2 linked regions of the Mytilus edulis genome follow. The protein of the gene in region 1 interacts with the protein of each later gene in a pairwise test. Links are inferred from orthologs where the notes say so. Each region holds a gene or a part of one and is shown on either strand. Other genes may lie near its edges.

The links.
Region 2: the proteins of B-cell lymphoma/leukemia 11A-like (region 1) and nuclear receptor subfamily 2 group E member 1-like interact in a two-hybrid assay, tested with the Homo sapiens proteins (2 studies listed by BioGRID). The link is inferred for Mytilus edulis from reciprocal best matches to the Homo sapiens genes BCL11A and NR2E1.

What each region holds. Positions count from the first base shown.
Region 1 is NC_092346.1:7,240,068-7,247,359, reverse strand, and holds the start of B-cell lymphoma/leukemia 11A-like, read left to right. Parts: upstream 1-4,204; 5' UTR 4,205-5,134; coding exon 5,135-5,186; intron 5,187-7,292. UniProt on the Homo sapiens protein: Transcription factor. Associated with the BAF SWI/SNF chromatin remodeling complex. Binds to the 5'-TGACCA-3' sequence motif in regulatory regions of target genes, including a distal promoter of the HBG1 hemoglobin subunit gamma-1 gene.
Region 2 is NC_092353.1:25,811,311-25,819,285, forward strand, and holds the start of nuclear receptor subfamily 2 group E member 1-like, read right to left. Parts: upstream 3,356-7,975; 5' UTR 3,215-3,355; coding exon 3,187-3,214; intron 1-3,186. UniProt on the Homo sapiens protein: Orphan receptor that binds DNA as a monomer to hormone response elements (HRE) containing an extended core motif half-site sequence 5'-AAGGTCA-3' in which the 5' flanking nucleotides participate in determining receptor specificity.

The DNA.
Region 1 (7,292 bases):
TATGGTTCTTGAAAGATTGAAAAATGGAGTTTCCAGTTGTGTCCGTGCATTTACGCATGAACTGTTCTACCAAAGCTTCCCAAATTTTAATATGTTGTTACTGATGACAAAATAGAGGTCAAGTTAAATAATGACGATTTTGACTTTTACCGTTCAGGAGTTATGGTTCTTGAAAGATTGAAAAATGGTGTTTCCAGTCGTGTCCGTGCATTTTCTCATGAATCATTCAACCAAAGCTTTTGGCATTTTTATATGTTGTTACTGATGATAAAATAGAGGTCAAGTTCAATAATGATGATTTTGACTTTTACCGTTCAGGCGTTATGGTTCTTGAAAGATTGTAAAATGGCGTTTCCATTCACGTTGTTGCATTTACTCATGAACCATTCAATCTAAGCTTTTCAAATTTTAATATGTTGATACTGATGACAAAATGGAGGTCAAATTTGATATTGACGATTTTCACTTTCACCATTCATCAGTAATGGTTCTTGTGATATTGCCAGGACACAAATAAATATTAATAAATCCGGTTTGCTGTCGTTGTGACAGCCTCTTGTTTTAAAATGATAGGGATTTTGAATAAAGTATATTCACCGCACAAAACGTCGCGTGCTTTTACGTGTACATAATAACGATACACTGTTTGACGTTTAGTTGGTTTTGTTTAAATAACTGTTGCTTTATAAATAATTCGTCTCTTTTTGAACATGGAACAAAACAACTACTGTCTTTTGTTTCGGTAAATATGTGGTTTATTTGACTTTTGAAAAACCTAGTGACATTCATATCGGCCTTAGGCCTAAGTGAATATCATTTTTTTTTTTAAATCAATAAAACCACACATTTACCTCATCAAAAGACAGAAATTGTACAATATCTTATCCATATTTATAAAAATGAAAATTATGGGAATGACCCCCCTGCCTTTTGAAATATACATTTTGTAGTTATGTTATACTTTAAATGGGTTCATACTATACTCGTGTTTTCTCCTCTATACTGCATATACACTGGCCTATAAAAAAATATTGATCTGTAAAGTGGTGGATAGCAGAAATATAATCTGTCAAGTTTCATCTTCGAGATCGGAAAGCGACGCCTATCCCTCGCCTTTTCGGTCGCGTTTTGCAGCATCAACCTATCAGAAAGATAAAATTGAGAATGGAAATTGGGAACATGTCAAAGAAACAACAACCCGACCAAAGAGCCGAAAACAGTCGATCTACAACGCAGCGAGAAAATCCCGCTACCGGAAGAGAGTCTATATTAAACATCTATATATTTATCTTCGTCCATTTCAAATTATAATGGTGTTTTCGAAAAACGTTCTTAAACCCGTATACTTAACTGTGCAGTATCACAGCCTTACATTAGTTTGTTTCAACACTATTTCGTTTTTCTAAACTTGTAGCCTAATTATATGAATGCCCGGGAAAGATGACTCAAGACTTTTAAAAAAAAATGATAGGTTGAATTTGCAATTTTGTAGTATTCTTTAAAAAATAAATAAAAAGAGTAAGCTTAACCAAAATCTAGTCTTTTTGTAATAAAGCTGGATATTTTAAAAAGAAATTGTAATTGTACTGTCGTGCGTGTGTCGCAAGTCGGTCGTGTGACAGTCGTGCGATAATCGTACGACAATCGTGAGTTGTTTGGGCTATTTTTCAGGTTTTCATGTCATGGGATGCGCGTCACTGTCGTGCCACTGTCGTTCGACTGTTGTGCCACTGTGATGCGACTCTCAGAGAAAGCTGTTGAAACATCATCGCGGCAAGGCATCATCTGTATGAATTCAACGAAATCACTGGCAGATTCCCGCTCCAACTATTGCATCAGTGTACTATACTGCCCAAACACGTACCAGGCGTCGTTCGATCCATGGCTTACCAACAAACGTCGGGCGTTTCGCTGGTTCCTTTACCGTTCACAAGCTTGAATTAACGCTTACAGAACCATATTTTGCCCGACTTTGTGGTGTTACATATTACAAAGTCTTTCCAAATTATTTTTGCAAAAATTCCGCTCAAATTGGTTCTTGGGTCAGTCATAATTTGCAGTAAGGTGAGAGTTTTAAAGTCCTCACTGTGAATTTGAGAAGAAAACGGCAACAAAAGCGCTGTTCCTTTGCATTTTCGGTGTTTGTGTCTATACATGAACTCATGGATTTTCTGTCATGGAAGGATACCACATATTATTTTTTTTATTTTACAGAAAAAAATTAAAACTTGTATCAATTTATCAAAATAATCACCAACATCAAGTTAAGCACTGAATAACATACTTTCACTCTATAAATACATGGATAATGTCGCAAGGTCCATGAAGTATATTACTTAGAATTATTTGTATATTCAACATGGTTACGTCAAGATCGAATTTAAAGCTGCGTATTACTTATTCTCATGAGGAATCGGTACCGTCTCATTATACTAAGCCTTGTTTAGCTTAACTCATTTTTTTCAAGACTTGTATGACATTATTACAATTAACCACATCCATGAAAATCAAATCCTTTAAGGGATTAAGAGAAATGAAAAATGAGAATCCTTGCGGTTTCGAATATATATTATATGTATAGATACAGAGGTTTGCCTCGATATCAGTATCCTAAAAATCACTCAGGGTTGATATACAGTACCTTACAACTGCATGTACTGCAGGAGTCCTTTTGCGCCAATAACTGTATTTCAAGGGTATCATTTGCGCTATTTTTTTTCTTTCAAATGTATCAATTGCGCCAATATTCGGAAATCATTAGTTTGTGCCAATATACAGTATTTTACAACTGCGTATACGGCAGGAGTTCTTTTGCGCCAATTACTGTTTTTCAAAGGTATCCTTTGCGCTAGAAATTAATCTTTCACAAATGTATCTATTGCGCCAATATTCGGAACTCATCAATTTGTGCCAATTAACCTGTACGCATTTTTCCATACACTATTGTATTTGATGATAATGCTTTGGACCCTCCATGACGTAAGAGCTAAAATCCCATCTACCGTAAAACATACCAATATAACAAAGTACCCGTTCAGAAAAGAAAACATTTGCCGTTCAAAAGTATGAGATATATATGCAGGAGACCTCAGCCACAGTAATTTTGTGTGTAAAATGAGTTACAAAATTCAAGCTTTAAATAAAATGATACTATGTAATTTTAAAGTTATACGTCCTTGAGCAAACGTAGTATTGGAGAAAAAAGTTCTAGAGCAAAATGACGCATTTTTGGCGCAAACGGATTTCAGTGCGTACGGAGTATTGTGAATCTCTCGCTCCGAGCCTAGAAACCTGTTAATATCTTTAACATACAAAGACTGCATGTGCAACAAAAATCACACATCTTCATGAATCAGAAAACACAAAAAAAAAATAAGCTGATTTAAGACATGATGATCCAACGGGGTATATCTAATATTTGTTCTTTTGATTTTGGTTCTTTTTTTTATTTTTTTTCGATGTATTTTTTTACTTTAATTCGAATCCTTAAAATAAGTAAGAAAAACATCATAGAGTGCGTGCAATAAATATTACTATTCTATTTTCTTTTTTTTTAATTTTTTTTATTCCTTTTTTTTTTTTTTTTTTTTTTAATTTACCAATACTTTCTTTAAATCACTCCTTGGCATCAGAAAAATTTCATAGAAAGCGTACTATATAAATTACCAGTCTATTTTTATTTACGTGTTAATCAAACTTTTAATATTTTTATATTATTTTATCTTAGTAACTAAAATAAATATTGAATATAATTTATTAATATTACTTATAATAATACTGTTGCTTTTAGTCATCCGTTATTCACTTCAAATGTTTTCTTTATTTCCGTAGAGATAATCGTGTCCACCTGTTGAATACACAAACATTTCCGTTAATGACCACTGGCTATCACCCGAGTTGACCTTTGGTCAGTTGTGGTCAGTCTTGATCGATAACATGGTATTTAATAGACGTCTGGACAACGGTTATTTAAGGTCAGCTGTTCACCTGAAATGAACTACAAGCTACAAGGTGTCGACGATAAGGAATATGTATTGCAGAAGAAAAAAACTTGGATTGGGTAAGATTGTATAATAGCGTTTATTTCCCTTTAAACATAACATTATTCAATAACATATAATAATGAAGAAAATATTAAAAAGCAACTGTCCACTGAATCAATATCTATAAATAATTTATGATATGTTTTTCTTTGTTAGATTCTCTTATCACTTTGATCAACTGATACACAACCATTGGACAAAACTGTCATTAAAAACTTATCATATCGGACATTGACCAGAAAGTAAGTGACCGTTACAATCAAAAACAGACAACTTCAAGGTGTTTTATTTATTTATAGTATATATGTGTGTCAATTCAATCAGTTAGCAAGTGCCAGCAGTTTCTGTAAATGCAAACGGAATGCAGAAATTATTGGTGAATACACATGCGGAAATGATGGTCACACTTGCAGATGTAAAATCACGTAATATTGCGCAAACCTCTTACCCCTTTTGATGTAATAGACTGTGCCGGTCGGCGGGGTCATTTGCTTGTAACATTACGGGCCACCACGCATCAGTTGACCGCACGATTACAAGGCGTTTTGACGACAAAATTTTACTTTTCAAAAACCCAATATGTTATTTTATATTGATTAATGACTGAAATCATACATATATATATGTTTGGTCAGGAGTCAGTGACTTTACCGGGATGAGAACGGCCGCAGCAACTCAACTGGACTAAATGATGGCGATGAAAGTGACATGTGCTTGATGTTGATTTCTATAAACTGAAACTAGAACAATACACAAAATACATTATTATATCGTAGATCTATTTAAGTTCACGTAAGAAATAGGATATTTACGTCCACTACAAAAGGTCTCCACGATAAACAGTTGCTTTCATTCGTCGAGAGGGTATTTCCTGATCGTGGTCAGTGTTCATTACGTTGTAGCGGTCAGTGGCATAAGTGACCTGAAGTGACCCCAAAGGACTTGTCCTGATGATGTAAACTTTGGAATGGAAGATAAGTAAGAAGACAGGTGAAGAAGACACATTACATGAAAATCCGCCATCTTTGTTGATATTCTTTGTCCAGATGTAGAAAAGGCAGTGGAGAGTTGGTTTTAATGAGCATAACAACATGTCCAGGAGAAAACAGGGGCGGCCACCACAAAGACGGACCCTAGATTCTCGTAAGTTGTCATTTTTTTTATATTGTCTTTCTTTTATTTTCTATTTTTTTATTTAAATATAAAATGGTCACCGTGGACCATGTCAAATATGTGTGTTGACCAACGGGGACAAGGTTACGTATTAGTTGTGTATTCAGTTATGTTGTAATACACATGTGACGCGACAATACACATTCTTTTCTTTTCAATTTCGACATCTCTTTTCATCAACTATTAAACAAAAAGACTGATTGGTTTTTATATCTACATTAATTTCAAGCACCTGTTTAAAGTATAGAATGTTTCATTTTGGTGACAGTATTTGTGTCATCTTTCTACATTCAGTTCTTTATAACCCAGTATTTTTGGATTAACAAACTTCATTGATTTTTAATACATGAATGGAAATAGTAAAAATAGAAATTAATTTATATTGGAAGAATATATAGTGAGTATTGTATTGTCATCAGAGGTGTACTTTTAGTTAGTTTTTATTTTAAATCTTTTAAATTTTTTTCTGATAAATGTTTCTCCCTCTCTCTCTCATTTTATTTTTTCCTTTTTTTTTTTTATTTGAATGAACTTTATCAAATAGATGATTTTATTTGAAAGAAAAATAAGAATACTTATTTCCATTTCCTACTAAAAATTTCAAAAAATAGTTTTGGGAACTTTTTATCTGGAAGAAATTTAGCAGTATGCGCACATGTATGTTAATTTAGAGGTTAAGATAAACTGTTTCATTTTAATAATCTTCACCAATTTCAATGTATATTATATTTTCCCATGGTGTTTTTATATGTATGTCTAGTGTTATATGCATTAAATGTTTGCATACATTAGTGAAGTATTATTGTATATGGTCACTGGATTGTGTAATATATGAGAGTGGGCAGCAAAAAAAAGATATGAGTCATAGTGTCCATAAATATAGGTGTTATAGAACTGGTGTATATATTTGAAAGTCAGGGCATGTTTATTGTGTAATTTTAGATAAGACATTTTGACCTTGTCTGAGGCTTAAATGTCTAGCAACATTTTTTGCTACCCTGTTCTCAAAGGCCTCTAACTAACCATCGATCATATTTTATTATTTTCATATTAGATAAATTACTTTTTACAGCCTTTTAAAATTTGATTTTTTAACAATAATAGGTGTTTAAATTGCATTTTGAATGCACAATGTGCAATAGACTGTTGAATAATGTATTTTTTCATAACATTTAACACCCAGTTTTAAAAATCAATGTTGGACAAACACTTAATGCTTTATTTTTATCACAATTGAATTTTGATGCTTTTGAAATAATTTTTTTTACAAAGTATGAAATTTGATTTTATGTCTCTCCCTGAGTGGACCTCTACACCAGTGTACAGTTGCATTGTGCATTGATTGGTCACTGTTAGATAACATGTCAGTGGCGTAACTAGGTTTTTAACCCAGGCTAAAAAATTTAACAAACTTTGATAGGGAAGTTCGCTATTATGTAATTTTGATGATTTATCAAGGGATTTGTTGTAATTTTACTTCTGGATCTTAAATCAGATTGTAGCAAGATATTCAATAAAGAAAAGGAAAATTATAAATCTACTAAAACAAGTATTTTTTAAGTGTGCACAATTTCCTTTTAAGAAAATTCAACTGAACAATTAACTTATAAAATATATAAACTAGAAATTTTAAACAGCATTTATCTTAAAAAGAAATTTAATGAAAAATTAATAGACTTTGACATCAGCATCAGTTACTTTCTAAAGTCACATCTAGTTCCCTGTTTTGTCCCTGCAGATTTTATTTGAAGTTCATGCTGTGTGTATTCTGTAGATTAGATATGTGGACATTTTTTGGCTATTACACTAGGAATTGGCATGGGTAATAGATATTATGTTCCTCAAGTGATGTAAATGCTATTTTTAATATGTCTGACTGCATAACATATTTACAACAGATGAACACCTCTAAAAGCCATTGGTTTCTGCCCTCATTACACATTCCGGTAATAAGCCAGAAATTATCTCCCCTGCTACCACTCTTGAAACCTTGACAACAGATGGAGAGCTGAGAGGGGGAAAGAAGTACACAATTTCCATTATGAAACAACAAATGAATAACCGATTTATTTTTCT
Region 2 (7,975 bases), on another chromosome or scaffold:
CTTTTGCATCACATTCCCATGTCTTCTATTATTTAAAAACATTACCAACAGTGAAATCCATTTGATAATAATCAAACTACCACTACGGAGGGTATTTAAAGAACTTAACTACTCCTAAGAGTTTCTCTCTCACAGTCAGTTATAATTTTCATCCTGCAGATTTGTGTTTTACATAACATATAACAATAACTAATAGCATAAGTCATTTCGGTATTGCATAAACGTTAGCAATGTAATACATGTGTTTACTTAAAATTAATAAATTCAAAGACCCATAGACATAAATTATTGTGTAGCATAATAACAAAGACGAAAATTTCAATTTAGACACAGTCATTTATTAAGTAATCGTTTAATGACAATGTCAACGTTATATTGCAACCATCTTCAAATATTTGACATTTACTTTCCAATGTATTTCAGAAGAATCATCTTTATGACATTGAAGTAATTTTTACTTTTTCAGGCAGGTGTTACAATTATTTTATCTTTTGAGGAATTTATTTCATTTAAAATTCCCGAATTAAACACATGTTTTTTGTATGTTATCCAATGTATTCACCATTGTCACGTTATTTGAAACAATTTGTTAAAAGTCGACAATTTGATTAACGTAGAACGTGTCAAATCCACAAATTGGTCATTTATATTGGTGTAAATTTTTAGTGTATTACGACAGTTCTTTCAAAGGGGATATAAGGGTTGACTCTTTTAATGTACAGTAGATTCAAAGCCGCTTAGTTAGGACACGATTGCAATGTAACAAATTAATATCTGTTTTTCAAAATAATAGATTTACACCAATCCACAGTCAAAAAGGCAAAATTATTTAACACCTATGATCCTCTTTTGCCAGTCTACAAAAATATTTAATTTTCAACTCGATTCAAATAAAAATTCAAGTACAAATATTACTCAACGTGTCGTAGAGGCTTATTCAATGACAATTGCCTTTAAATGATAGCTCAAGTGCAGAAAATTGTCATTTATTTTTTTAAGACTTTACCAAAAAAAATACATTTTATAAATTGTACTACAAAAATTAGATTTAAAAAAAAAAACTAAATCACAGAAATACTATATGTATGCTACATAATTAATACACAGATTAAAATTATATATGTATAGAATAATTAGACCATTGCTTTTTTCTTCTTTTTCCCCTATCTTTTGTACTGCACCGAATTAACAGATTTTTTTGATTTTTTTTAATTGTACTAAAAGCACATTTTTACTTACTTTAAATAATAAGAAATGGCTTTAAATGATCAAAGTGCTTTTGATTTGTGTACTCTTATGGTGCAATCTCTACACCTTTGATGTTACAAAATATATACATTTTGTCCAATCATTTGATTATAATTTGGTCGTTATGATGCAAACAAAATTTAGAAAAAAGCCTTCTAAATCCTCTAGTGGTGTCTATGACGACTTAAAGAAGCAGTAAACTTTATCGTCTGCAAATAATGTGCTCGCGTGCAAAGATAATTAAGTACAATTTGTTATTTCAATTATCTTGTTAATTTCCTTTGGACTTCCTTTAATTTCTTTTGTAGTTGAACTGACTTTCCGGAGTCGATGTCTACGTATATGTCTCTGGATTCTATTATCCTATTTTAATGTGAGGTAAACACTTTCCAGATGAAAGGACTCCCTTCATGTTGAAAAGTTAAGTTTGCATGTTTTGTTAAATGGTTCTGGCAAACTTTGCTTTTTCGTACGAAATGGACATGCCCCTGGATATACTAAGATGTTAAGTAGACAATAATTAGATAAAGGCTTACGTATTCAAATACACATTTGTTGACATAGCATCTAGGATCCAAAAAGTATACTTAATAAGCAGAAAACTGGACGAGAAAGAAATTTTAAAGGAAATTTATCCCCAAAAAAGGAGAGCAAAAACGAAAATATATATACGCAAAAACGTCGTTTTCTATCTTTGAACTACTAGTCTATCAGTCATAAAAAAGCAACATATAACTTAATTTCAATCAGTTACAAAGTGATAAAGATTCATTTACTTTAATATATATACATTGTACTACTATGTTTAACATAAGAGCATCAGATAAGCTTGCACAAAATCATGAAATCACAATTAAAAAGCATAATATAAACGCAGTACAATACAATATGCTTTATTTAAAATTAAAAAAATGGTAAAGATATTTATTGCAGGTATAAATCCAAAAATGTTCTTCTTATTAATAGGCAAGAAATGTTTTTTTTATATAAAATATTACTGTTCAATATAATCTAATTGCAATTCAAAATAAAATTAATTGACACATCTTTCAAACTCCCTAAATAATAATTCTTTATTCCGTAAGCAAATATACAGCTCATAGAATTAAACAGATACACAAATTATACAGTTTACATAGACATATACAGCATTAATATATAGCGGAGTTTGGCATACAATTTACATTGGTAATAAAAGTACATTTAACAAAAAAATTAAGTGTTACGGATTTTCTCTGCCTCATACAGGTATTTACCCAGATTATTTAATTCTTTAATATTTCTTACAGATAGTAATTGAACTAAGTTTCAAAAGTTAATATGTGCTGTTACATACATGTTAATATTGTGGATAAAAGATAGAATTGCAGATTGACAACTTATTGCTGTTATATTGATAAAATGTTCTGATTTTAACGGTTTACTTCCACCTAAAATATGTATTGTTCTTATATATAAGAATAAGAAGATGTAGTGTGATTGCCAATGAGACAACACTCCAGAAGAGTCAAAAGCGGCATCAAATTATCAACTCAGATAAAACTGTATTTGACTATTTTCCGTATCAGTATTTTTATGTATTTGTATAAATTATTAGTAAATATTAGAGCTCTTAGTAAATATAGAGCTAGTGACATTGCTTTTATTCCTTGTTTTTTTTAAGTTTTTTATTTTTTGCCAGAGAGCAATTTTTTGCATTTAAATTGTATTTTTGTTTTTATTTTAAAAAAGACTTACTCTTCAGACTAATTTTTTTTCAGTTAAGATTCATGAAGAATAAAACATTGTATATGTTCCTGTTTATCAAAAGAAAAAAAACCACCCAAAGTTGTCATCATAGATCTGTTGAAATCATTACCTTTAAAGTTAATAAAAGCAATTAGTAAGTACGAAACGTTTTGTTTTATATGACTACCTATGTACTTTACTTCTACTTACTAGAAGTTCCTGCAGGTTTATTCATCATGGATGCTGTCAGCTTTAAGTCTGTTGATGAAACCAAATATTAAACTTTATCACTTGTTATAAGTCCATAGAAAGTGGATTTAAATGTCCGAAGTCCCTTGACTAACTTTATAAAATGACCAAACGTTTTTGTTATTCACACTTTTTAAAATGCTATTTGATTGACTACCCGTTTTATTATTCCTTTTGAATACCCGAGTCAAATCGACGAGCGATTGGCTGTTTTACAACAAAGGTGTTGCGTATTAGAGGCATTGTAACGAGTCGTTTTAAGGACAGGTGAAAATTTGTTTGCATTTGATTTGTCAATAGAATACAATATATTGTAGATGATCTACCCTCCTGTTACCTTAACTAAATATTGATAAGGGTAAAGCTGTATCAGTTCAGAGATTTAAATTAAATATCCTTTCACTTTTATGCTTTATAATCGGGTATTTTACAAATACAGATGTAGAAAAATGTTTTTTTTTAATAGGATAAAATTAGATTCATTGTACTAGACTTTATATCTGGAAAATCGTAAGAACAATTAATAAACACTGTTATAAATTTTATATTTATATAATTATTATTACGTTGCATCATATGTTTTTAACAACATTGAGAATGGAAAATAGTATTTATCGTTTAATTGATTCATATAATATTATTATTTATAGATTTAATTGTTATTTCCTAATAATTGTCACTGGACGTTAAACAACCAACAATGAATCAATGTTATTTTCTATTTTTACTGAAATTTAAATTTGAATTTAGATTTATAAAATTTGCGCAAATTCAAAAAAGCAAAATATGAGTATGATCATTTTGTTATGGTCTTGAAGAAGATAGATAAATTCCACCACCCTTAAAATAATTTAAATGCAGTTACTATTGATTGTTATAAATTTAATTTCTCTGTTTTACTTACATAGCTGTAAAGGTAAACCGCTGTAACTTGTAGGATTAAAATCTATCTATTAAATGAAATTTATCTACTCGGAAAAACATGGGGTTTTTATGCAAAATTTAACCTGCATCGACGCGATGATGCACAAACCCATCACTAAGATATTTTTTTAAATCATTTAATTCCTTTTTTACTCTTTTAAATTAATTATACAGCATTTCAGAGCAACAGAATATCAATACAATTTTACATATAGTCTTGCATGCTACAAATGTCGCGAGCCGATACAAAAGGCGTTATTCTAGACTATTGTAGGGGTGTCTTCAAACTAGAACCCTTGCAGATTTTTCTGATTTTCATTTGTGTTATACGTCAAGGATATTCAATATACATAGCTTCAGCATCAATGAACATGTATGTGAGGCCTCGTCCATCGGGTCATGTACCTGTGATGGTTTTTTGTAAAGTGTAGTTATGTTACATTTATGGTGTTTTAGTACAAATTCGGTCGATTGCTTTCTCTTTTAAATTATTTCACATTTTGTCATTCCGTATCATTTTAAAGAGTTGTACACGATGCGGGATTTGCTTATTGCTGAAGGCCCCCCGGTTACCTATAAATATAGTTGTATTCATCCTTGTCCCTTTGTTTCTGTTGGAAAGTTGGCTCTCGGGCAATCTAAGCACATCTCATTGTGTATATATAAAAGAAAGTATTGCATTAGTATCAACTTAGTAAAGATATAAGAAAATGTGGTATGAATGCCAATGAGACAATTCTCCATCAAAGTTACAATTTATAAAAGTAAACCAGTATAAATCAAAGTACGGTCTTCAACACGGAGCTTTGGCTCGTGGTCTTGTTTCTATATATTCAATATGTAAAGCTTTTAGAGTTGGGAATGACTTTGAAGAGACAATCGAAGATCTGTCGTTTTGTCCAAGTTCACAAAAATTACAATACATTAAGATATCGCACAAAAGACAACCTACATTACCACGGGCGATGTTCCTGGATTGGGACATGTACACAAACACAAGATGGGTGAAACAATCTCCCCGCATTCAATCACAATGAAGGATGAGGTAAATAAAAAAATTGTACAATTGTTTCATTTGTTATTTTGAGGTCTTCTATATCTAGCTATATATGGGGTATGTGTTTTGCTCATTGTTGACGGCGGTACGGTGACCTTTATATGGTTGCTTATTTTTACATCCTTTAATTTCTAGTGGAAAGTTGTCTCATTGTCAATTAAACTATGTAAATCTTATTTCTATATTCACAGTTCTTGAGATAAATCTTTTAAGCAACGTCATGTGTTTCCAGACAAATTAGTGATGAAAACAATTGGTGTCTTTACAGTTGAAGAACTAATTTTGTTATAAGATTCTAACCTTGATTATCTTAAACGACTGACTGGCAATTTGTATCAGATTAAAAATAATCACATTTGACAATGTCTGCCGTTTAGTGGCAATTAGAAATAGATTAAACCATCTGTAAGTTTTAAACAAAATGACTATAGGAATGATGTCGCATCGTCTGAAAATACGTTAGCCACTTGTCTCAGTCTTAACCAGTTGATCCGTCTTTTCAATACACAATAGTAATAATAGAAAGTATTATATATATGTAACGTAGACATCCCATTTGTGTTTTATAATCCCACTTCATCAACTTAGTTAGAAGACAACTTGCAGGTAATTGGTATACGTCTATACAAGTTATATTGTTAAAACTTTCAATTAGATATGATAATGTTTGTTTCTTTTGTTATTTAGCAAATAATAGCATTGATGTCTTTTTCACAGGTGTTACATATAGGACAAGATATAGGAAAGATTCCCAAGGAGCTTCACCGACCAAAACCTTTAATGTAGATTTAAATTGTTTCAAGAGCTAAGTTTTGTTAGATTTTGGAATATTATTTTCAAGTAGATTTACTGTGATTCAGTTTAATCTTTGTTGTTTCTTAAACCATTTATATTTCTACAAAATACAAGACATATTTTGAAATATCTGAAATAACTTCTATCACATTTTTTTTTCTCAATTGCATGAAATGTTGAGCTATGCATGTACTTGTTGGTTTCGGAAATTAGGCCATGTATGCAAAAGATATAGGATTTCATGGACAGCAGTTTCTTTGTAAATGTCTAACAAGGTGAAAAATGATTCGAAAATAGAAAACCAATGTATTAAAAATCATAATGCGTACAGGTATTGTCTTTTTCCTAAAACAAAACTACACACAAGATAAATACAATAAGTAATAATTTCATTTCATACTCATAATAGATATCAGAAGATGTGGTATGAGTGCCAATAAGACAATTCACAATTGGAAAAAGTAAACCATCAAAGGTCAAAGTGCGGCCACAACAAGGAGCCTTAGCTCACACCGTCCAGCAAGCTATAAAGGGCCAAAAAATTATTAGTGTAAAACCATTCAAACAGGAAAACCAAAGTTCTTATCCATATAAAAAACGATAAACTCTTATGAACCAGATCAACAAACAACTACTGAACACCAGGTTCTTGACCTAGGATAGGTGCAAAATAAAATTGCAGCAGGTTTAAACGTTCAAATAGGCACCAAGTTTCACCCAATCCTGAAACAATAGTCCAACAACACAACATAGAAAGACACAATTTAGTGGCTTAACTCAATAGGCTACTTATGATATAGATAACCATGTTGGCTGGAAAGTACAACAGTCTCGAATTGATGCAACATGTCTTTTTAGTTCTTTCTGTGCCATACAGCATGTAATCTATTAAGAATCAACATTAAAATGTTTTCATTATATTTCATAAACCAGTAAAATTTTACTCCTTGTATCTATGATGAGTTAATATGTTTGTTCTGACGCATTGTACATGTCTTCACTGAAAAAGACTCTTCTATTTTTTGATGATTATATACTCTATTATGGAAATTCAAGAACCTTATTTTTGTATTCATTTGCAATCGAGAAATGCAAATTCAATAATTTGGCTGCTACATGTATAAATTAAGCTTTTCCCTAGTGGATGGTTAACCAAATAACAAACATGTTTTCTTTGTTCAGATCAAAGTGTGGCTGGGAAAATTTCAGCATTATTTTTTAACTGCTACACTCGCCAAACACTGACCAGTTGGTTAAGAGAATAAACGAATAGTTGTGAACCATTTTAAAGAAAACTAAAAGATTAATCAAAACGATTCCAACTCAAACTTAGAGGCAACTAAAGAGGGTCGAAATGGTGAACGTGACAATTCATATTTTTTTAATTTTTTTTTTTTTACAAAATCACGGTAACTTAAAACTCAAACTGCCATCGATAGCCAATTCGTACAGGACTAAAACGCACAAAATATAAAAATTATGATCAAAGACATTTTCACTTGCATTTAATTGAATGCTGGTCCGCTGTGGTTGCTTTTTCAGGGAGCACGCGCAGCAATGACACCATGCACGATTAACTTGTGTTTGAAAAAAGCTTTAGTAGATTTACATGGATCATGGAGGTGTTATATAATAATTCCATGTTGGGTGTAATAAATCAGATTGTAAGAAGCTGTTTTTGAATGAAAATTAAATTGCTTTTGTTCGATGCTTAATATAAACCCTATATCCAAATGAAAACTACGCTGAGCTATACGACATGGAGCTTGTAATCGTTTGATTTGATAAATCGACAGCAAATTAATTGCATCATTACAGTCATGATTTAATCAAAACAACGATTCAATTCTTGGACAAACATATTTTGGCAAATGTAGTTATCGTGGATATAAATTAACAATAAACCAACAGTGGTGTCATTTTAATGTGATTACCATCATCACGTTTAGGATTAAATTGAAATTAACCAATCAA